2 linked regions of the Caenorhabditis elegans genome follow. The main gene of each other region encodes a partner of the protein of the gene in region 2 in a complex. Each region holds a gene or a part of one and is shown on either strand. Other genes may lie near its edges. The genes, in order: pat-4 and unc-112.

Region 1 (12,568 bases), on a different chromosome or scaffold from region 2:
AGAATCTTCGTATTTTTTCGGTCGGCCCTGGAAAAAATTAAATTTTTTTTCGTTTTTCAATCAGAATCTTGAAATATCCGCCTTACCCTTGGTTTTTTATCATCTTCCTGACCTTCTGGCCGTGGATGTCTGTGTCTTTTGTGTGCACTGAGACTTCGATCGGATTTCCCGACGTATTCGCATAAATTGCACTGAAAATCGATATTTGTCGGCACATTCACCACGTCCACATCGTCCTGCTCATCGTTTTTCATCATTTTTTAGCTGAAAAATAACATTTTTCAATTTATTTCGTTAATTTCTTTGCATTTTTCCATTTAAATTCGAAAGCGAAGACGAGAGAGCATGCAAAAACGAGAGAGCGGGAGAGAAAAAGAAAAGGATAAACAATGTTTTCGGCGGCATTCGGAGCGTCGTCAGACGCGCGCTGCGAGACCCAACAGACGGGAAATGTCATGCGCCTTTGATTTTACAATTTATTTCGGCTATTTATTGCGGTTTTTTTGCAGTTTTTCGCTCAATTTTCTTCTAAAATTTGAATAATACATGATAAAAAAAAAATACATAATTTATTTCGACAGCGATTGATACATAATTTCACAAATTTACATGGATTTTTGCCACAAAATTAAAAAAAAAATAAAATAAAGAAAGCACATTTAAAGTTTATTCATTTGCTTCTCCAAATGTTCCATATCCCGCGCATCGGCTGACTTTGTGATTCTATCGAAAATAAGCTTCTGCGTCTCCTCTAACATCTTGAGTTGCTCTTTATTCTGTAAAAAATCGGCTTTTAGGTTGGAAATTTTATTTTTCTAAAAAACGTACGCTTTTCATACTGGTAGCTTGAGATAATCGGCTCTTCATGCTGCTCAGAAACTCGTCAAAGTCCGATTTGGCGGGTTTCTTGTGAATTCCAGAGTTTTTGACTTTTGGAATGGCGTTTTTCGGTTTTTTCGACGCTTTTTCGGTTTTCGATGCACTACAGTTGCTATTTGCTGAAAAAAAATTCGATTTTATTTGAAAAAAAACCTGAATTTTAATAAAAATTTGATAAAAAACTCACAATTGGCAGAAATCCCTGAAGAACTCTGCTCAGCAGCCATCATGGTCTCCTCGTCTTCGAAAATGGTTTCCATAGTGTTTTAGCTGCCAAATCCTTATTAAAACTCAAAAATTGTCAATAAAAACGCGGAAAATTGTCCGAAAATCGATTAGGGACGACGAGAGAGTGTGGGGAAGTGAGAGACGGAGCTTGTGTAGATTTACGGTGAACAACGCGTGGGGGTGGGATAGCGGAGTGTCGTTTGGGAATTTATTTTATTAAATTTTTATTGTTTTTGTTGATTTTTAGGAGGTTTCCTTGGTTTTTTCGACTATTTTCTTCAGAATTTTGATGATTTTGATGTAAAATCACTTCAAATTCCAATTTTTCCAGGTAAAATGAGCTCCAGCCTGCTTGCGAGCCTCTCCCGGCTCTCCCTACTTCAAACCCGCCAAATTCATCAAACAATTCCCGCCGGCTCCTCGGTTTTTATGAAAAGACAGAAGAAAATTGATCCGGAGGTAGAGAAAATTACAGTTACTCATTGAATAAAACGGGAAATTTAATAAAAATTGAGAAAAAATTCAAAAATTTTCCAGGTAGCAAAGCAGCGAGAGACCCGACGCAGAAAACGGCTGGAAAAGGATATTCGTCAGATGCAAAAGCACTCGAAAAAGCCGAAACCAGTGGATGAGCTCACTTTGGACGTGAAATCCGCGAAAAATATCGGGTTTTTCAGCGATTTTCTGCCTAAAAACTCGGAATTCTTACAGAGAACGCCGCCGCCCACGCACCGAGCTCACCTTGGAGCAAATTGACGAACGAGCCATCGCTCTGAAGGTAAAAATCTGAGAATTTCGCTTCAAATCCGTGGATTTTCAGGATTATACACGCTCCCGGTTGGCTTTGCAGCAGGAGGATGACGCGTGGATTCGTGGAGCCATCGAATCGCAGAGAAAAGCTCTAAATGAGCTGAAAATGCTCAAATTGGAGCTCTACGAGGCGGCTGTACAGCCAGCAGCCAAGGATTTACCGCTTATTGTTCAGGTAGCGGAGAAATTGAAGAAAAATGGTCAAAAAATTGATGAAAAACCCGAAAAACTCACGAAAATTCATTAAAATCTTAAAAATTGCTAGAAATTCGGAAAAATGCCCAAAATTTTAGAAAATGTTTAAATATTCCTGAGAAAATGTCAAAAATACCGAAATTTATTAGTAAAATCTTGAAAATTTTGCCAAAAATCTGGAAAAACCTGGAATTTTCGACTTTTTTTTTCTAAAAGTTTCAAAATTCCCAAATAATCATTCAAAAAAAAAAACTTTCTAAAAAATCTCTAAAATTTTTGCGGAAATTTTGAAAAAATTCACTAAAAAATTGAAATATCCCCGGAAATTTCGAGAAAATCCAAAAATTTCGGAAAATACACAAAAATACCGGTTTTTGCTGAAAAAGCACAGAAGTTTTGCGACAAAACCTTTAAAAATCTGTAAAATCCCCCAAAAATTTTCAAATTTTTTCTCGAAAAATTGCAAAAAATGTAAAAATTCCCCCAAATAATCCGAAAATCCAAAAAAATTACCTAAAAATCGGGAAAATTTTGAAAAATCCCTGAAAATTGTCGTAAAAATACCAAAAATTTCGCTAAAAATCTGAAAAATTGCTAGAAATTCGAAAAAAAATGCTTAAAATTTCAGAAAATGTTAAAAATTCCCAAAAAACATGTAAAATCTTGAGAAAATGTCAAAAATACCGAAATTTATTAGAAAAATCTGAAAACTCACTGACATTTTGCGAAAAATTCCGAAAATTGGTTAAAAAATTTTTTTAAAAAACCTGGAATTTTCCAAATTTTTTTTTCTAAAAATTAAAAAATTCCGAAAAATCCTTTAAAATTTCTTACAGGGACCCTCACTGACTCCGCCCATTCGAAACTACGAGGCTCCGGACGGCGACTACATTGATACTACGAGAAATTGGGCATCTTAGAGCCGAAAATTGTTGATTTTTATGTGTTTTATGGGTATTTTTGTTGTAGACAGTGACATAGGATGACGCATTAATAAAGGAATTATCGATTTTTATGGAAAAAACTAAAAATTTCAGTGAAACCGAGCTGGAAAAAATAAATTTGCCACTGCGGGGATCGAACCCAGGCCCTGTGATTGGCGGGCGAGGTCACTAGCCACTAGGCTACACGTGCAAATTTTTGGCAACTGATTATTTGGATACATGAAACTTACTGCAGCGAACTTTTTTGTCGAAGAGTGTTTGCGTACAGTAATCCTTACATTTCATAAGATTTTATTGATTTTTTCATAAATTGAGCAATTTTTTTTGACAGTTTAACATTTAAAATTAATATATAGACGGAAAATGCGATGGGGCTGGACAAGGAGCAGGCACTTTTGATGTAAAGCTTTGATAAATTGAATTTTAAAAAAATTGTTGAAAACATTAGAAAAGCAAAATCGATAAATCATAATATCATTCTCTCTAAAATCGGAATGATTTGATCAAAGTTTGGCCGACGTCCCGGGTCCTCGTTCATGCAAATGTTCATCAAACGGTTCATATTACGGGCGATTCCAGGGGGAATGTGCACTCGGAGACCTTCCAGAGCGATCTGAAATTAATAAATTTGGATTCAGCGTGAAATTTGGGTCTGGAAACGCTGATTTTGGAGGTGTAAGGGGTACTGTAACCCTAAAAGTACGCAAACACTGAATCTGACGACGACTTGCAGAAAAGCGGTGGAAAATGAGTTTTTTGAGTTTATTGAGGTAGAAAGTGACGGGAAATTCAAATTTTTTGATAAAAATTATATTTGATCAAAATTATACGAAGAAATTCGAATTTTTTGACAAAATTTCAGAAAAAAATTTTGATTTTATCTCAAAATGTCAACAAACTGTGGTTCAATTCGAATTTCTCGCAAAATTTTGAGCGTGGTCAGTCGTTACTAGACGTTTCTATTCCATTTTCAGGGCTTTCGGGGTACTGTAGTCTCGGAAGTACGCAAACACCGAATCTTACGACATTGAGCCCAAACGAGCTAAAAAATGTTGTCACGGCCTGTTTTGAGCTTCTGAGTTTGAATTTAAGAATGAACACTTTTGAAAAAAATAATAGAAAAACAATTTTTTTTGGGCCAAAAAAAAATTTTTTTCCAAAATTTCATCCGAAATTAACTGATAGATTAATTTTAGGATTTTAACATCATTTTTCACACTTTCAGCCCTCCAAAAACCCTCCCTTACCTTCATTCCGCATTCCATTGGCGGTAGATCAGAGAATGGGACCTCACGAGTGTTCAGCTCCCACAACAATATAGCAAATGACCACATATCGGCAGCTCTAATATTCAAGTCTTCTGGAGCCCGTGACAAGGCTTCTGGGCTCATCCAGGCAGGCGAATAGGCTTTTCCGACCTCTTGGAACGAGAATTTCGTATCTGCCATTGAGAGTTTGGCGGTGAGCTCCTCGTCGACTACAACGTGTTTGGAGGAGAGGTAGAACCTGGAAACTGGGCTTTAGGCTTATGATAGCTTAAATTATCTGAAACTCTAAAATTAGTTAAGAAACGTAAAAAAATGGGGGGAAAATTAAAAAATTAAAAAAAAAAAAAAAAAAAATTTTTTTTAAGTTTTTTTTCGAGTAGTGCCCCAAAAACTCTTGGATTCCTGAAAACAATTTTTGAAAATTTTTGTTGTAGCTACTTTTCGAAGAACATTATTTCAGGCACATTTTAAGCCAAAAACCGTTTGAAAGTATCAAAAACTAAAAAAGTTATGAACTTTTGAAATTTGGAAAAAAAAATCCAAATTTTTTTAAAAACATAAAATTCAAATTTTCCCGCCAGAAAAATGGGCGGAGCCTATAAAAATTTATACTTTTCTGGGAGCTCTTTTTAAGCTCCATTCAACCACACTAACCTCAAAAGCATAGGGTCCAAACTGTGCAAGTAGCTCATTCCTCTAGCAATGTCCAACGCGAATCTGACGGCTTGCCCGTGATCAATGACGACAGCTGCAATATTTTATTGATTTTATTAAATTATTTCAGCGATTTTTCACAAATTAATGTCAAAATCTAATAGATCTCGTTAAGAGCTTTCAGAAAAGTATAATCATGCCTAGGCTCCGGCCATTTTAGCATGAATTCGAGAATTTTTGGGTCTCGCCACGAAAACTGTTGGGTTACTGTAGATAAGTTATCTAATATGATATTGATAATTTTACTAAAAAGACAATTTTTTGAGTTATCTGTGCGCAGTATTTTAACAAAAAATCTCAAAAATTGGGAAAAGTACAAATTTTGAAAAAAAAAAATTTATCAAAAAAAAATTTTTTTCTACTTTTTCGAAATCAAAAAAAAAAATTTTCAAAACATTTTCTAGGACTAATTTTTGCGCCCTTTTCAATGAAAACCTTCAAAACTCACAACTTTGCTCGTGGAGCACGTTATACAGGCTTCCAAATGGCATGTACTGCGAGATGATCACCAAGTTCGGTGGCTGGTTAGCCGCGGCGAGCACCGCACAAATATTCGGATGAGCAAAAATACGAAGAGCCGGAAACTCGGTCTGGAAGTCACGTGAGATACGGGCGGTCACTTCTTGAACATTCAAAATTCGCGCCACAATATCGTTGCCCTGCCATTTTCCACGCCACAGTTCTCCGGAGTGTGATTCAGCGATCTGTAACAGAGTGGGGGTTAAGCTGGAAATTTTTGGGATTTTTAAAGTTTGAGGTAGCTTATCAAGTTCATCTTGATCTAGACTTTCAGAAAAGTATACATTTACTCAGGTCAAAAAAAATTTTTATTTCGAAAATGAAGTTTTTTTTTCAAACATTTCAAATCTTAATAACTTTGCCAATTTTTAAGATTTTTTGCAGATTTTTGACATAAAACACGTATAAAATATTGAAAAACAGTATTATTTATATTAAATAATAATATACACTACGGTAAGTGAATTCTGGAAGTTTACGTAGCGGGTTCCAATTTTCGACGAGTTTTTGAGTCCCACCGCGAAAATCCATAGTGTTAAGCTGTTTTGTGTCAATACAGTATTTTAATATTTTATTGACGTAGAACAAGTTTTTGTGCATATTTTGAGGTTAAAACCGGCTGAAAATCTCAAAAACAGTCAAAGTTATGATTTTTTCAATGTTTGAAAATTTTCCTTAAAAAATTTTTTTTTTCGAATTTTTTCAGAAACTTCGAAATTCGCGGAAAATTCCCATCCTTCAACGATTGAAACTAATTTTTTACGCTGAATTTGAATTTTTAAGTTATTTTCCACTGAAAAAATCTATAACCCACTTTAGTGATCAAATTCAGCGAGGAGACGTCGACTCCGGTGTAGCGGGACAGTGTGGCGTCCCGAGTACGGGACTTTGTACCCTTCCATGTGGTATCCTTGAATGGTACACGGTCATTTGGAGATTGTCCATGTTCTTGAGCAATTTCTAGAAAAAATCGATAATTTAAAAATTTATTAGAAAAAAGTCATCCCAAAAAAAAAACTTTTTGCGAGTCAAAAGTCTTTGCTGAAAAAAACATTAAATTTTTGTACACATTATTTTTAAGTATCAAAATTAAATTTTGCTCACCAAGAGCTTTCTGAAAAGTATAATCATGCCCAGGCTCCACACAAAATGAGCATTGCCCAGAAGACTTCAGAATTTTTGGGTCTCACCACGAAAACTTATAGGGTTACTGTAGTTTATGTTTTTCAATTTTTTAAGTTAATTTACCAAAAAGCTTGATCTTTTAGACTTATTTTAACGTTAAATTAAATCGAATCGCTTGAAAACTAAAAAGTTATGAGTTTTTGAAAAGTTGTAAAAATGTTGAAAAATGTTTTTTTTTTCAAAAAATGCATTTTTTCTTCTAAAAATCTTATCTATATGTTTTCCGACTAAAAAAATTCAATTTTCAGATTAAAATGCACAAAAAACTTACCCAAAATAGTGTTTTTGCACATTGGCTGGCAAACGTCCAGTGGGGTCATTCCCTTCTTGTTGCACACGTTGACAGCGGCGCCGCAGGAGATTAGGTCCTGAAGTTGTTATTTTGCAAGAAATCAAGGTAATTATTAACAAATTCAAATTCAGCTTGTTAAGAGCTTTCAAAAAAGTATAATCATGCCCGGGTTTTGAAAATTCTACAAATTTTCGATAAATTTTTGGGTCCCGCCACGAAAACTCCCAGGGGCTACTGTAAATAGGGACTTTTTGTGTTTTTGGTATAATAAATTGAAATTTTAAAATATTTAGGACGCAAGTATGAAAACATAAAAAAAAATAGCCAAAAAACTTCCAAAGTTATAAAGTGTTGAAAAAATGATTTTTTTTTCAGAAATTTTTTCCGGCAAAAAAAAGCTCAAAATTTTTGGTCAAAAGTGGGCGCATCCTTTATGAATTTATACATTTATTAAAGCTCAAATCTAGTTATATTTGATTATAAAAATAATTTCACCTAAACTATACATTTTCATTGCGAAATTAAAACTTTCCGAGAAGAACTTATTCGAAAATTTGGAAAAAAAATTTTCTGAATTTTTTGAAAAATCATTTTTTTCCAATTTTCCCAAAAAATTTTCCCAATCGAGTTTATACTTATTTTGAAGCTCTAAACAAGCTCTATTCGAATTTATCAATAAAATCACCTCAGCAATTTGTTCATATCCCCAAAAGCAAGCATAATGCAGTGGAGTCATTCCGTGCTCGTTGGTAGCGTTAACATCGGCTTTTCTCGACAAAAGCTTCACCACAATTTGTCGGTGTCCATGGGCGGCCGCCAAATGCAATGACGTGTCATCTCCCATATTCGTAGAGTTTACACGTGCTCCACGTGACAGGAGCATCTCTGCAATCGCCACGTGGCCGCCCTTCGCGGCCCAGTGGAGCAGTGAGAAGGCGTGATCGTCTCCGACGTTGAGATCGTGCTCGTGATCGTCCAACCAGACGCGGACCTGAAATTTTGATAGTAGTCTTAGTCTATAGTAAGGATTGTGATAAATCCTCTGCAAAAAAATTGGACAATTTCGGTGAAAGTTGATCAAGTTAGCATGAAAAGAAAAATCGGACAAAAATTACCGGAAATTCCAGATTTAAGCTTAAAATCTAGCTTTAAACTTGATTTTTCAAATTGGCAACAATTTTTTTCAAATTCAGCTTAATTTTAACTTTTAGAAAAGTATAAATTTGTATAAGCTCCGCCATTTTAAATAGGAATTTAAATTTAAAAAAAAAAAATTTTTAATGAATTTTTTTTTTAGAAAATCTCAGAATTTCGGATTTAAATTTAAATTTTTTTAATTGAGGAAAAACATTAACTTTCAAAAAAGTATAAATTCATATACGCTCCGCCCACTTTTCAGCGAAAAAATTTGAATTTTTCTAGAATTAAAAAAAATAATTTCCAAACATTTTCAATTTTTTTCCAAATTTTTTTTTTCAAAAACCTATACAAAATTATACTTTTTCAAAAGCTCTCATCGAGCCTAACCCCATAAAAATATTTACAAAACTCACCTGAAAAGCGTTACCCTCGCGGACCCATCCAAACACATCCTCCATTATAATGGGCACATTTGGCTTGTGCGCATGGTAATGAGTCGACAAAGACATTGTTGACTGGAAATATAAGGTTTTACGTGTGAAATAGTGTAAAATTTGAAAAAATCAAGAAAAATTGAGCAGGAACATGTAAAATTACAACAAAAAAAATCGGTGAAAATTGAAGAAAAAAACTATTAAAAAATCAATAAAAATCTCCAAAAATTTCCAAATTTTCTCAATTTTTCCAACTTTTTCCCGGGCCCCATGAAGCCCGGAATCTATAATTTCAAGCCAAAAAAGTTAGATATAAGAGACATAGACAAATAAACAATGCAATAAGTACAACAGAAAGCAGTAGAATTTTGCTGAGGCGACGGCATGGGGGGGGGGGGGTCAACATTGTTCCCCCGCTGGCCAGGCGAGATAGTAGAGGACTATGTAGGAGACGCAGAGAACAAGACGAAATTTGTTGTAAATGTATGTATTGTGGAGAGGGAGTAGTATCCCGCGCAGAGAACAAACGGCAAGCGATTGTGGGATATCTTTTCGTTGACCATTCCGTCGTCTAGAGGTTGGCTCAGAAAAAGCTCTGAAACTTCGCTTGAAATGAGCTTCTGGTCTTGAATGCTAAGAATTTGAAAAGATGAGAATTCGGGCTTTCAGAAAAGTACAAATTTGCCTGGATTTTGCCTGAAAATTTTTATCAAAAAACCGGCAAATTCGCTTCTAGGACATTTTCCAATTTTACCTTTCACAGCTAACTCCTGAAAAAGCTCTAAAATTTGGCTGAAAACGAGCTTCTGGTCTTGAAAATTCAAAATTTGAATAGGAAAATTTCCGAGCCATCAGAAAAATATTAATTTATGGTAACTTTCTCTTAAAAATTTTGAGGAAATCGTAATTTTTGCTCTGAAGCTCCGCAGCGAGTTTCAGAAGAATTACTGTAACTTGGCTGAAAATAGTTCGACAAAGTTATACCTAGTTTCATTAAATTAAGCAGTTTAAGGGTTTTCAGAATAGTATAAATTTGCTAAAAAAGCTTTAAAAAACCCCAATATTCCAAAGGACTTTTTTGATTAAAAAAGTAATTCAAAAAAAATTTTCACGTTATTTCAAAGCCCCCATCGCACATTTTTGTGCCCAAAAGATCTGTAAATTTTTCCTCTACAGCACTGAAAAGTTATGTATCAATTCCTGTAAAAACTCTTGAAATTCCTAGCGTTTTCGTGGCGGGACCCAAGTTTTTTTAGCAATTTTCTTCTCAAAGACTGGGTTTACAAAATACCTGAACCCGGAGCATAACGAAAAATTGTGAAGCTTAACAAAGTTACCACTTCACAATTGCAGCACTAAAATTCAATGACGTTTTTCAGACAAAAAACCATTTTCAGACGCTTTTCCCAAAACAGCCAAGAAAGGGCCTAACGTGGCCTAACATCCCAAAATTTTGCCACGTGGCAGAAAAATAACGGAATATCATATCACTAGAAAGTATATCATAAAATTGAGTTGGTTTTGAGGGGGCGAGAAGCTCATCGGAAGAAGGTATTCAAGAACATTTGAGAGAAAGAGAAGAGACGGGGGAGAGAGAGTGTGAAATGCAGTGAGAGACGCAGAGATTTGGTTCCCGTGGGAGTCGTGTGAGTTAGAGATAAAGAGATATGGAGAGAGATAGGAGACGCAGAGAAGCAGGGACGGATGTTGTAACACGATTCTCGGATGGAAACTGAGCATTGATGATGATGATGCCAAGGATTTTGGGGACCGGGAGGGTTGCGTAGAAAATTATTGATTTTCTGACAATTCCAGCGGGGGGAGTCGGAGTGTCCCATTTCGGTTTGATCTACGTAGATCTTCTACAAAAAATGCGAGAGAAGAGCCGCAGAGTGTTCTCAACTGATTTAGCAACGTGCTGACGTCACATTTTTTCGAGCTAAAAATTCCCGCATTTTTTGTAGATCAAACCGTAATGGGACAGCCTGGCACCTCGTGTAAATAAGTTGCCAGCTGACGATATGTTTATTATCTTTTACTCTATAGCATAACAGTTACAATGTGTTATATTCAAAAATATCCAGAAATACGAGCTCCAAAGCTACCAAAGTTGATGAATGGGGGGACACTGACTTCGAGGTCTGAAATATTAAACTTACTTGGAAAATTCAGCAAATCTAAAAATCTAACCTTCCTGGCCACCTCTTCACCACAAAACATCCTCCCCACAGTTTTCCGGTACAAAGTGTTCACTCCAAGGCAGAGAAGGCAGTGGAGAATCGCGTTAATTGGCACGAAAATCGTGAAAATGTCCAGGAAATTGTAGACTATATTTCTGAAAGCTCAGCTTATAAAGGTGTGCACTGCTACAGACAAAAAACTTACACCATTCCAGCTTGCCCTGCAAAACCCCGCAGCTGTACAGGATACCAACGGGTCTTTCTAGTGCCACAAATGTAATTGCCATTGGGATTTAGTTTTGTGAGTCAGAAATAATACAAAATTTACCTACTTTTCCGCGTTTTTTCCCATGCTCGCCGAGCTCTTCCGACGGACTTCTCTGACGTATTTCAGCTGCTGCTGTAGCAAAAAAGGTAAGTGCTGGAAAGGCTATTGTAAGGAAAACCTGAAATTTCTGACTGCAAAAAAAAAAATTAGGTAGCTGAAAAACTCCAAACCTTAACAACTCCATCACATGTGTTATAAAGAACATACACGACAGAAGTGTGATTAGAGTATTCTTCAATAGTTGAGTAGAACTGGGGTTGGCTGTAGTTTGCAGGGAAGCCAAAGCACCTGAAAAAAAATTTTAGGTGGTTAAATGACGTAGGCCTTACTCTCGCCACGCCCCGCACACAGCTATAGTGTCGCGAGGTGCCGCGCAGCGTCGGCTCCGAAGAGCGCTACCAACCTTCGGAGGTTTTCTTCTAGGTAGGAAGCCCAGAAGTCTAGCTGGCTTTGGAGGTAGGTCAGTGGTGGAGTGCTGAAATTTGTTCATATCTTTAGAGAGTCTAAGCTTAAGTCAGAGTCAGGACCACAGACCTGAACCAGGCGGTGGGTGGCAATTGCCGTTTGGCAAATGTTTTGGTCGACAAATTCGGCAAATTTCCGGTTTGCCGATTTGCCGGAAATTTTTATTTTCGGCAAATTGCCGGTTTGTCGAACATCATTTTGCCGGAAGTGTTTAGAGGTTTCCTGCTTTCTTCCCATAATTTCGTAGAATTTTCTTACTTTTCAAAAAAGATGTAGGAGCATTTATAGGATGCCTACAATTTTGCAGATTATAGATAAAATCTGAAAGTTCCAAAAAAAAATTGCAAAACCAAAATTAGCCGCTTTTCCGGCAAATTTGGCAAATCGGCAATTTGCCGGTTTTCCGATATGTTGGAAGGTTCCAATTTTTTTTCAATTTGCCGACTAGCGGGCCCCATAGGGCCCGCTAGTTTCACTCCAAGGCAGAGAAGGCAGTGGAGAATCGCGTTAATTGGCACGAAAATCGTGAAAATGTCCAGGAAATTGTAGACTATATTTCTGAAAGCTCAGCTTATAAAGGTGTGCACTGCTACAGACAAAAAACTTACACCATTCCAGCTTGCCCTGCAAAACCCCGCAGCTGTACAGGATACCAACGGGTCTTTCTAGTGCCACAAATGTAATTGCCATTGGGATTTAGTTTTGTGAGTCAGAAATAATACAAAATTTACCTACTTTTCCGCGTTTTTTCCCATGCTCGCCGAGCTCTTCCGACGGACTTCTCTGACGTATTTCAGCTGCTGCTGTAGCAAAAAAGGTAAGTGCTGGAAAGGCTATTGTAAGGAAAACCTGAAATTTCTGACTGCAAAAAAAAAAATTAGGTAGCTGAAAAACTCCAAACCTTAACAACTCCATCACATGTGTTATAAAGAACATACACGACAGAAGTGTGATTAGAGTATTCTTCAATAGTTGAGTAGAACTGGG
Region 2 (11,720 bases):
TTTCAGGAAAAGCCATTCAATCCACCTCCACGTCCAAATTTCAATTATAACCTCTGGGATCCTGTCAATGAAGATTTCGAAGGACGCAAGTTGGATGTTCGTTGGTGGAATCCGGAAGAAGAAGATGAAGATGAAATTGTTCCAATCCCACCAAACCTTGCTGTCTAATCTCTCATTTTATTTCTAAAAATAAAAATTTTTCGATAATCGTTTTATGAACATATGCTTATTCTCTTGAAAAATCCGCTTTCCGCGCACGCAAATCTGTTGATGCGTGCTCAAATTGACATCCGTTACCATGCCAACTCTTTCCAACTGCCCTTGAGAAATTGAAAGCAGCTTTACTGAGCTCTTTCTGTGTTCCGGGCTCTCTTTGCAGTCTGTGCTCACTCCTATTAATTATGAAAACGGCAGGGACTTCGCGTGATACGTCTTCTAATATTCAAAACAAGCGAGTTATGAAGAAACCCAAAGCTATCAGGGTATGTATTAAAAGGGATATTCGAAATAAATGTTTTTTTTTCGTTTTTAGGCTTGCAATTTGTTTTCTCTACAGTACTTCAATTTAAAGGCGCATGTAGTTTTTTCTGCTGCTTAATTTTCAAAATACCGCTGAAAACACTTGAAAAATAACCGGAATATACGCAGTTTTTGTGGGTATACACTTTTTCCGTCACCTCTTAACGGAAAACTGTCGGCAACCGGTCTTCCATCTTTCCGCGCGCGTTTTCTCTCATTCTTCAGTTTTGTGTGTGTCAGCGGCATCGACCGAAAACATGCCGTCGATAGCTCAGTTGGTAGAGCGGAGGACTGTAGAGTTTGCAGATATCCTTAGGTCACTGGTTCGAATCCGGTTCGACGGAGTTCTTTTTGTTTCAGTTTTCATCGTAATTTTTTTGGTCGACCAACAGTTTTCTACGGATTGTGTTTCTTGTAATTTTAGCTGTTAAAGCAAAAGCAAAAATCTATTAAAATTACTATATTATCAAAAAATTTGTAACAATTTTAGTCTACATTATCGACCAATGCAGCTTCCCGTCGAAAACCTGCAATAGGATCTGCTGCCAAAAAGAAAGTCCAAGTTGTTGAGCCAATCCAGAATCAGAATGCAGATTCCCGAAAGATAGCTGAAGTTGAGAAAAAATTAAACGCAATTCAAATTACAAAAGACCGCCTGAAAGATCGAGCTGATAAGTTGAGTGGAGAATTGACAAAAACTAGAGTGGAACTGAATGCAGCTCAACAGGAAAGAGGAAGAATTCAACAATTCTGGAGAATAGCTGAAAATGGATTAGGAGAAGAAAGAGAGAGAACAAGAGACGTAGAGAAAAGTATGTTTGATATGAAGACACATCAAGCAACTCATATCCAGAAATTACAACAAAGAATTCGAAGTTTGGTATTTCATGCAAAAATGCATAGAAATGCTGGAACACAGTCAGAAGCAATTGCTCCAAGTGGTGGTCTAGAAAGTGTTGAATGTCAGACAATGGAAGAATTGACAAAAGAGAAAGCAGCGAATATCTTAAGACAATCTGATGATCTTCTAGTAACATTCATTGCGGAGCTTGAAAAAGAGAAGTTAGAAGCTCAAAGTGATTTGAAATATGCAATTGTGCATTTGGAGCAACGAATGAAAGAGGAACAGGAGACACAAATGCAAGCGATGAAAGAAGAAAGAGAAATTGAAATTGAGGAAATTGGATTGAAACATATGGAACAGATAAGGACAATTGAATCTGGAAATAGTGAGCAAACTGCCATGATGCAAGGAAAAATTGATTTCTTGCAGGTAGGAACTCTGAATATTCGATATTTTAGATTTTGCATTTAAAAAATCTAACATTCTGAAATACCACAACAGAAAAAAAATCTCAAAATAGTTAAAATATATGATTTGAATTTCCTCCACAGCGAGAACTGCGACCAATCAACGACTCGCTCCGCCCACGTTTGAACTAATCAGATAAAGTTTGTAACGTTCGAAGATTCTGGTTGGTTCGAAAGCGGGCGTGGCTTCTCGTTTTGGAGGGAATTAAAAACCAAAATTGTCAAATCACACTAAAAATTAATATTTGAAATTTTCCTCTATTTTCATCGTATTTATTCTGTCGTATTTCTGAATTTGAGTCTATTTTGGATATTTTTAAAGCAAAATAAAAACCCCCTGTTTATAACGATATTTGAATCATAAGATCAATTTTTTCAACTAATTTTTATTAAAGTATTAATTCTTCATAAAAACCATCTTCACCATTCCAGAGCGAAGTTTCAAATCTCCGTGATCTACGTGATTCAATATCAGCGGATCTCATTGATAGTCGCGAGAAACTCAAGGATCAAGCCGTCCTACTCGGCCAAAATCAAGCAAACATTGATGAGATGAGCAAAGAAATCGCGAGGCTTCAGGATTACAAGAGGAATTTTCAGGTAAGAAAAGGGATGTACGTATCATTCGTGAAAGTTGCTTGATTTGCTCTGACAAATTGTTTAACTTTAAAAAAAACGTACAAAACTAGTTTGAAAAATAAGAAACAATTCGATTCTAAATCGTGAAAAAACAAATTTATGGGCGAAGACTACATTCAGATATTTTTTGCTGTTGCTTGAAAATTTTGTTTCAAATTTCTTGATACTTCTTGAACATGTTTTCACATGATTTCAATCCGTTTGAAAACAAATTTTTAAATAACGGGATACAAACTTATTTGCTTTTTTTCTATCAAATTTATATTGCCGATATGTTTTGTACTATTGATTTTATATGGTTGAATAGAACAGATTAAGGATTCCTAGGTAGTTAGGTAGGTAGCTAGATAGCAGAACAGTGCCTGCCTGCCTTGTACCTACGTTTGCCTACTACCAGAAAAGATGGAAAATGACTATAATTTCCTGATTATTATTCCAGCGAGATATGCGAAACGTTGAGAATATGAGGAAAGAAGTTGAAAAATACAAGGAACTCAATGATATTGTGATGGGAGAATTTGAAAAACTGGAAAAAGAGCGAGATCAGTTGCTGATTGAAGTTGAACGAAACGTTGGAAGACTAGAAATCAGCAATCAACAAAAATTCGAAAAGCTCGAGGAACGCGGAAGAAGATTTTAAATGTTTATTCATCAGTTTTTATTATTCAATTTTTATAATATTTTTCAATTTTTCTCATACAATTATTATTAATCCATAGATATGAAAAGGCACATAAAACTTTTTTTCGATCCGGTATACTTGTCTTATTAAAACGAAAAATTATTTGGAAGAGGGGAAGGGGGGAAATGAGAAACAAGAAAAATGAAAGAAAACAAATATATATATTGAAATTTTGAAACGAAAAAGATGGAATTGGAGCCTAAAATTAAAATTCTTTGGTTTGCAAAAGATTATAGAAATTTAAATATCTAAGCCCATCCTCCTGTAAGTTTGTGGAAAAGTTCTTCATCAAGATTTTGAGAATGTTCTTTGCTTCGCATTGACAGGAAAATGTATCCACCGATGAACTCGTGAACGACTTTGCAATCAGCGGAAAGTGGCTTGAATTCGATATCCTCATCTTCGAATTGAATCTGGAAATTGGGGAGATAGGATGATAAAATAGTATACTCAAAGAAAAAAAGTAATTAATTTCAAAAAGTTTGTTCTCGGTTATTTTCGGGTTTATCTAAGCCTTTTATGTAGGCACAAAACAGATTTTAAAAATTTATTTCTAAAACGCTCAAGGTGCAACGCTGGCATGTAGGCAAATAGGCATGAAGTCTGCCTACCTTCCTGTCAGCACCAAGTTTACCGAAAAAGTTTCGGTCTTTGAGAACATTATCTGATTTAGATTTTAAATTACCAAAGACCTGAATTTTTTAGTAAGTTACGGCGAATAGACTTATGGATAGAAAACAACAATTGAATCAAAAACGCAATATTATAATTTTTGAAACAATACAAAGATTTTTTGAAAGCCAATTGTTCTTTGTGTTTAGATATACATATTAGGAAAGATTTTGAGATGAAAACGTAATTTCAAGACATCACAAAATAGATTAACAATCAGAAAGTTGTTACAAGAAACTTAGATGAATAGGTCTCGAAAACGTTCTCAACATTTTGCAATTTTTCGATTTCCGATCATGTCCAGATCTTAAATATTTTATTCATCAAAAACTAACCTTGAGATGTCGAATTTCCCAGTTGACATGCCACTTCTTCATATTTGCAAACCTCCATGTCTTCAGACTTTCTCCATTATCCATATTCAATTTTGCAAGTCTATTCACAGCAACAGCCACCAATTCCGCCTTTCTAGCATTTCGGAATCTTACAATGAAATAATGAATTCCGTGTTCGGGAAGTGCTTGCCATGCTCGGATATATTGAAGTTTCGCTTCGGTTGCCGTGAGTTGTCGAACATTTCCATGAGCATCTGATACTCGCTGTTGAATTTGTTGCTTGCTGCGTGCTCGTCGTACGTATTTCGACGATATGTACTCATCAACATTGAAATCATTTGGTAGTTTTACAGCGGCGGCTTTTCGCGAAGCTGTGTTGCTGTTTCCGTTTTCGTTTCCATTACCTGAAAAATTGTTTCATTCGAAGAAAATAATTTCATTATCACTTATTAAATTGTAAAATCAACAACTTACCACTTTGCATCTTGAGCAAGTTTTTGATGCTCTCCACCTCCTGTTGATATGACGAATCAGCCATTGACTTCCCTCTGGATGCTAACCGACACGCAGCCATCCACCTGGCATATTGATGCTCGGAATCGCATTTCAAAATGAAGTCAATCATTCCTTCAGCAGTTGGAAGTAACAATTTGATATGATACTTCTGCTGTCCAACTGAAACATCCTGACTAACTTCACATCCCTTCAATGAGAAGTGTCCAAGTGGAGCTGAGTTGACATCTGAGGAGCTTTGATGATATGATAAATATAAGTCACGGAACGAGAAGAATGCCCGTTTAAATCCTTTGAATGCTGCCAATTTCTTTGGTTTCATATATTTCAAATAATCTGCTAACTCGGGAACTTGTGTAAGATCTGATCGTCTGTTAAGAGCAGCTGCGTCAAGGTTTTGCTCAAGCTCGTCCAAAAGAATATCCACATCATCTTTATTATTTTCTTCAGGTTCAGGAGAATCTCTTTGCAGGGTTGCTTGAAGTTGAAGAGCAGCAAATAGTGTGGCTTCTTCCTCTGTGTGATCGAATTCATCAAGTAAAATGCTCCATTTTGCTTGCTCGTAAAGTTGATTAATTCTCACTGGATCATATTTTGGATTCAAATCAAAGAAATTCATAAATTTGAATCGTAGTAAAATAATATCTCCTTCAAAAATTCCTTGTTCCATAAGTGATCTGCTAGAATCAAGCCATCCTCTATTAATCGCAGCTTTTTCCACATAGTTCTGAGGTCTAAATACTGGAGTATCACGGCTTGGAGCAAGTCTTGGTGAATGAATAAGAGCATCATCAAATTGCTCATTTTCAAGTCCTTCACTAAAACTGATGCTTGGCATAATTGGTGTTCTTCTCATCGTATCGTTATATGCTCCTGGCGATGGACTGACACCACGTGGCAATGTTCCGTGGCGAGGAAGAGTTCCCATTTCGTGAGCATTGAAAATGTGTCCAGATTGGGAGAGCGCGGGTGATTGACCACGACGGCGCATATCAAGATTCGATTGAGAAGCAAAGATTGGAGCAGCTTTACGGAGAGTCATTGGTCCAACTGATTCTTCTCCTGGACGCATTGAGAGTGGACCGTTCATGTTGTCGGCGTCAGATGTTCCACGTCGAAGATCCTCTGGTGGAATATATCTGTAATATTTTAAATTATATGATTTTGAATTATTGGGTTATTTCACATGCTCGGTAGTAGTTAACTTTTGACCTTGCTCAAACTTTTGGGGCAGGATTTCGATCAGGCATAGATTTTCCCTAGTTGCTTAAGATTCCCAAGGATCTTCAATCCTCGTTCAACCAACTAAGGAATTTCACAACTCCATTCTTATTTAAATTAAAAATAAAACATCAAAAACTTCCCAATTCCTACTTACCTCTTCAAAGACAATTCCTCTGAATATCGAATACCCAAATCACGGCACAATTTCTTTGTTGCTTTGAATGAATTTACCGAGAAATCAACTCTCGCATCAATCATTTGCATATCTGGTAACTGAATTCTTGCTTCTTTATGCATTGGTGTGAACTCCAATTGTGTTTCAGCTGTAATTCCATTCTGGTCAAGAGTCGATCGAGTATGTTGAAGCCATCGCCGCTTCTCCGGCCACCACAGAGCATGATCAGACCAATCTCGTTCAACATCTGGAAAAATAGAAATATTTGGAGTTTTTTAGATTCTTGTTTCAATACAGCTGTTTTGTAAATTGTTTGTTCAGCTGAAGCCCAAATGATTACATTTTGAACTTGGAAATTAAACACATTGAGCACACAAATTGTTATACCCTAATGCAGAAAATCTTCATCCCTTCAGCTTCTGCAAGTTCTAAAAATCGCGCGAAAACTTAATTCCAAAACGTTTTTATGCGCCTCTCCTATGCGCCCTTTCTGCTCTTGGTCATGATGAATGCCAGTTGCTTCTCAAGTTTTGATACTCTCTCCTGGGACCCCCTATCATTGTGTGCTCTTATATCTCTGCAAGGAAAGCCTCTAAACTTTATGTACCCAACAGCGAATGTCCCATCCGAAACAATCAGCTTATGTAGATGCGCACGCGTGCACTCGAATAGTCAACATTAACAGGGGTTAGGATGAAAAGAAAAAGAAGAAAGAGAAGAGCAACTGGTAGGAGATGAGAAGAGCCCATAAATATTTGATAGGTTCCGCATAGTTTCTATGATGTTTCAAAATGTATAGAGGACTTCTTGTCAACTATTTCGGAGCTCACAGTCCCTAAAAAATTTCGTGAAGATCTCTCAAAAATTAACTTTTTAATTAAACTGTTTTATTCAAAATACGAATTTTCAGCAAACTTGAAAGAATTGTACGAGAAATTTTTCACTTGGCGCACTCTTCAAGGGCTCCGTTACGATGTGTTTCCAAAAGTGTTCCCTATCTTTCCAGAACATTTTTTTCCAGCAGATTTCAACATTTTCCCATGCCTTCAATTTTTACTGATATTGAACATCATTTCGTAATGGTGCACACACCACGTATCTTTTCGTTGTAACAAACGCGTAGGCGCACACAGTGGCAGATATATCTAACAGATTATATTGAGTAGAAAAGAGAGAAATCATGGTCTATTGAGATCTTTGAGATCTTGACCGAGGTGATAAGATTCGAAAAAAAAACTCACCGCATTCGCTAACAAGTTCGAGCATGAGTCCTCCCACATTAAGATTTCCAAGGACAGAGATGCTTCTGGAAGAAATAAATACATTTATTGGAAATTGGAAGACTCTGAGTTTGAAAATGTCTCATTCATGTTTGGAAAAAAATTTAACCGGAATCTTCTGAAAATTTAGGCTAGGGTTTAGGGTAAGGCTTAAACTTAAGCTTAAGCTTAAACTTAGGCTAGGCTTCGGCGTAGACTTAGGCTTATTCTTATAGTTAGTCGTAGACTTAGACTTAGGCTTGGGCCTAGGATTGGTTTAGGCTTAACCTCAATCCGAGAATAACTCAATTATCACTTATTCTGACAAAATGACTTGAATTCAGAAAATGTGCATTGAATCTTTTTCTATAACTTCCTGCAATTGCAGTTATTTAAGAACAACTGCTAAACATGCAGTACTATTGAAAGTTAATATTTTCTAAATATATAATTTTAAATCCTCACCTTTGAATATTCAAATCGGTGACCAAAATTGGCAATTGCCATTTTCCATCAATAATCGAGGTTCCTTCAACAAGATGTGCCATGTTTGAAGTGATTTAGGTAGAACCACTGAGATATTTTAGTTGTTGGAAAGATTAGCAAATTATAGAAACAGTGTATTTTCTCCGTCCACGGTAGATAGAATAGAAAACAAAAAAAACCGCTTAACAACAATCAACAAATCAATAAAAAAGCTATGTGTGGGAGAATATCAGGTAGAGAGGAACGTGTATACAGAATAAAATAAACGAAAAAAGAGGCTAGAGAACATTGAAGAATGAGAGAATGAGAGAAAAGACTGCCGATGCGGACGAACAAACGGACGGCCGGAGCAGTACACACTCTTCGTCTCTGACTCACAGCAACACCGTCTCTCCGCTTCTTTTCTCACTCTCTATCTCTCTGACTCCCTATCTGTATGTTCCAAAATGCAATGAGAGAGCGAGAGAGAGTGAACAGTTGTAGAAGAGACGGAGAGTTGAAGGACACTCGGCAGGCGGCTACGCGGGAATGGGAAGGAATGACAGTAGGCGATGCTGCTGTAGATGAAGGAAAAGAAGAAGACAACATTACACAAAGAGTCCCGTCCCCCGGCTGGCAGAAAGATTTGGCAGAAGAAGGAGGAGGAAGATGCCAGGAAGCAGCTTCTGAAGGGACATTGGACATGAGAGAGAGAGAGTAAAAGTATAGGATATCACGGGTAGTTGGGTATGAATGGAGAAGTGCAATGAAATGGAGAAAGGTGTATACTAGTTTCTGAATTAGAATATCTGGATAATGTGAACATTTGTGAACAATGTGAACTACGTAGATCAATGGGACACTCTAACACCACGTGTGAAGTTCATACTGTGAACACTTGGTAACCTCGTCTTTTATGGTGCAATTGATAAAAGTTCAGATTTTCCACAAAAGTAACTATCCTTTACAGTATATTAGAAATGGTAGTGAAATTTCAATATGCGCTGACACAAAATGCTAACTTCTTGTCCAAGTCTGGCTCAAAAGAAATATAAACTTGGTACAAAAGTTGCTTATAAAGCGTATGCAAATTTTTTTGGCGGCGTTAAAAATCAAACTTTTTGACCTAATCGTTTTTTGAATCGTTTTAAAGTTATATAAGACATTAACAAGAGTTGGATCAAACTTGAAATAAGCTCAGAAATTTTTTGGACGAAGAATTTGAGCACTGTGTATACGGGAACACAAAACTCTGAGAATGCATAGTGCGCAAAATATCTCGTAGCGAGAACTATATTAATACTTAAAATGACTACTGTAGCGCTTTAGTCGATTTACGGATTTTTGAAATGATTTTCTTTTCGAATAGTGACATCGATATTCATTTTTCTTCGTTTCCTCGTATTAGTTTTTAATTTTCGGCTTAATTTCAATATTCAATCGATAAATCAATGTTTCCGAAATTTAAATCGAAATTTAAAGATGTTAAAGAATTACTGTAGTTTTCCCTACGGGATATTTTTTGTGTCAAGGAATAACCTTGTAGCCATTTAAATCAAACTGATATTTTCAGCTATCACTTAACGTTTCTTTGTTTTTATATCCTATGCAGTATTTCTCGGCACGGCACGACATGTTGTCGCGCGCGACTGACAAAAAAATTAATTGATGACTACGGTAGATTGCGAAGTACGCAGAGGCTTTTGCGTACTTCGCCATAACTTTACGAGCAATTGTTTTCATTGTTTTTCAACAATTGCAATCTTATTTTTGAACTTTTTACTCTGTTTTCTTTAGTTTTTTTGGCCAATATTCGATTTATTTGTTTGAAAATTTATATTAAACGTTGAACATCACGTAAAACTTTTATTTGTGTCGGGTTTCTCCGTGAAAAATTGTACTTCATGATAAAAATAACTTTTAATAGTTTTCAGAGCTAAAGTTCGGCATTTTCCTATGTTTCTGTGTTATAAAATCTTGTTCAAAACAGAGAATTATCAAAAAAAAAATCCCGAAAAAATAGTGGATATTAAAAAAAAATCCGTAGAGTCAGACAATTAAAAAAAATAATTTCCTCGCATTTTCTTCAGTGCCTCTTAAATCATCGAGCAAATTGAAGAAAATGGGCCCAATAACTTCACGAATAAGAATTTTCCTTCCCATTAGAACTATCCGTTTTTCAGTGAAGTGCATATAACTCCAAAATTTCGCATTATCCTTTTAAAAAAAACCAACACAAATTCTACAAATGTTCGAAGAAACGGTTTTTTTTCATCTATTTTCATTCCTGCGCTTAATTTTTGTCATTTTTCTGAAAAAAAAAACCGAAAATCTGGTTTCCTCTATGCTTGCAGGCTTATTTCTATTTTAATCCATATTTTCATTGCCAAAATTAATTTGAAATTTATTCAGATCGCATTATAATGAACCCGAAAAACAAATCATCAACAATCATTTCGAAAAACGTCGAGGAGCTGCTTCCGACACTATTCCCCATCACAGAAGTTCGAAGTTTCGGAAAAAAGTGTCGCAGTATCGAAATTTCGAAATCCTATTTAATCAACAGAGCTCTCGTCTCAAATCTAGACATCGAGCCGGACGAGCCAATTGTGAGGATTCGAGGATTATTGGCATTTCATCATGAACTTCAAGAAGATTCTCGAAATGTGAACTTTCTATTCACATACGGATGTGTCTGTTTGGATGCTCGAGGGACTGGAAATAATCCTGGAAGATTTGTCCGAAGAAGCTGCTTTCCGAATAGTTATCTTAGTTATGAAAGAAACAATACAGAATTCCATATAATTATCAAAGCAAGAGACTTCATTCCATATGGACATGAGATTACTATCGATTTTAATGACGATTTCTTTCCTTTGAATTGTTCATTAAAATGTACTGTGCACTTGGAGGATTCTGAGAATTGTCGACGGGAATGGAAGAGAAAGTATATTCAGAATGATGGTTATTGGAAACCGCCGGAACTCTCTGTATGTTGAAATGTGCCGAATTTAAGAAAATTGCAGAACAATTGGGTTTTACTCCGAAATCCCCACGAAAAACGCCAAGTGTTGGTATTTCACAGAAAAACGAAAATTTTCGATTAAAAATGTCTGAAAAGCTCAATTGGAAAAGCAGAACGGTCTTCTAGACATTTTGAATATGGTACCTTGTTGCATGCATAAGCCGCTTTTGCGGCGAAATTTTCACAACACTTTGCATTTGTAACAGCTTTCACACGTGGTGTTAGGCTGTCTTATTTAATTCTGATCTACAAAAAGTGCGGGAATAGTTTTCCAAAAAAATTGTGACGTCAGCACGCTCTTAACCAGGCGAAATAAGATGAGAAGTCTGCGTCTCTTCTCCCGCATTTTATGAAGATCAAATCAAAATAAGACATTCTGACTCCCCGTGCTTTCAGACATTTTTTTATCGAACATTGTCGGTTTTTTTTCTCACCGTCTGGCAAAACTTTTCGTTTCTGACAGTACAAGCTTTATAAATAAATGAGATTGTCAAAGTCGAGATTTGAAAGTTTGAATCAAACAAAAGTTATTTTCAGATTTCCGCATCTTCAAGCAGCACTTCACAAATCGATCCTGAACCATCAAAAACACCATTTAACGAAGAACAAGAGAAACTACTTAAATCGATTATCAATCAATCAAAAATCATTCCGATGATGCCACGACACACGAAACATCTGTGCCACGTGTTCAAGCAGGAGTTTGGATCAGAGAAGACTGTCGAGGAGATTGACGATGATCTAGGAAAATTAATTTCGGATTTCACTAGTCGAGTGATGAAATCGAATATTGTATTGAATGATGATCGTCTGATGAATGCAATAACATTACGCAATGTTTTGTATGTGACAAGTGTATCAGTTGAAGAGAATGTACTAGAATGGTTTGTTTTAATTATAA

What was found.
Region 1: unc-112 (region 2) and pat-4 share a complex: the UniProt entries of both Caenorhabditis elegans proteins name them as parts of the integrin containing attachment complex.

What each region holds. Positions count from the first base shown.
Region 1 is NC_003281.10:86,121-98,688, forward strand, and holds pat-4 (Integrin-linked protein kinase homolog pat-4), read right to left. Parts: upstream 8,690-12,568; 5' UTR 8,684-8,689; coding exon 8,588-8,683; intron 8,026-8,587; coding exon 7,720-8,025; intron 7,111-7,719; coding exon 7,014-7,110; intron 6,518-7,013; coding exon 6,372-6,517; intron 5,743-6,371; coding exon 5,487-5,742; intron 5,073-5,486; coding exon 4,979-5,072; intron 4,563-4,978; coding exon 4,304-4,562; intron 3,670-4,303; coding exon 3,523-3,669; 3' UTR 3,333-3,522; downstream 1-3,332. Other genes in the region: attf-3 (C2H2-type domain-containing protein), read right to left, coding at 1-27, 87-257; F54C4.4 (NAM-associated domain-containing protein), read right to left, coding at 660-776, 829-998, 1,067-1,139; mrpl-40 (Large ribosomal subunit protein mL40), read left to right, coding at 1,444-1,566, 1,645-1,775, 1,819-1,885, 1,928-2,092, 2,949-3,032; C29F9.8 (G_PROTEIN_RECEP_F1_2 domain-containing protein), read right to left, coding at 10,663-10,749, 10,799-10,943, 10,994-10,998; C29F9.9 (DUF4708 domain-containing protein), read right to left, coding at 12,278-12,430, 12,483-12,568. UniProt on the Caenorhabditis elegans protein: Probable pseudokinase that acts as an adapter protein. Component of an integrin containing attachment complex, which is required for muscle development and maintenance.
Region 2 is NC_003283.11:14,688,753-14,700,472, forward strand, and holds unc-112 (Protein unc-112), read right to left. Parts: upstream 7,903-11,720; 5' UTR 7,878-7,902; coding exon 7,795-7,877; intron 7,377-7,794; coding exon 7,312-7,376; intron 6,318-7,311; coding exon 6,050-6,317; intron 5,811-6,049; coding exon 4,633-5,810; intron 4,563-4,632; coding exon 4,159-4,562; intron 3,565-4,158; coding exon 3,400-3,564; 3' UTR 3,110-3,399; downstream 1-3,109. Other genes in the region: C47E8.11 (uncharacterized protein), read left to right, coding at 7-168; gasr-8 (uncharacterized protein), read left to right, coding at 402-482, 1,010-1,792, 2,263-2,430, 2,909-3,109; set-5 (SET domain-containing protein), read left to right, coding at 10,218-10,784, 11,357-11,703. UniProt on the Caenorhabditis elegans protein: Component of an integrin containing attachment complex, which is required for muscle development and maintenance. Probable regulator of cell-extracellular matrix adhesion. Required during initial muscle assembly to form dense bodies and M-lines.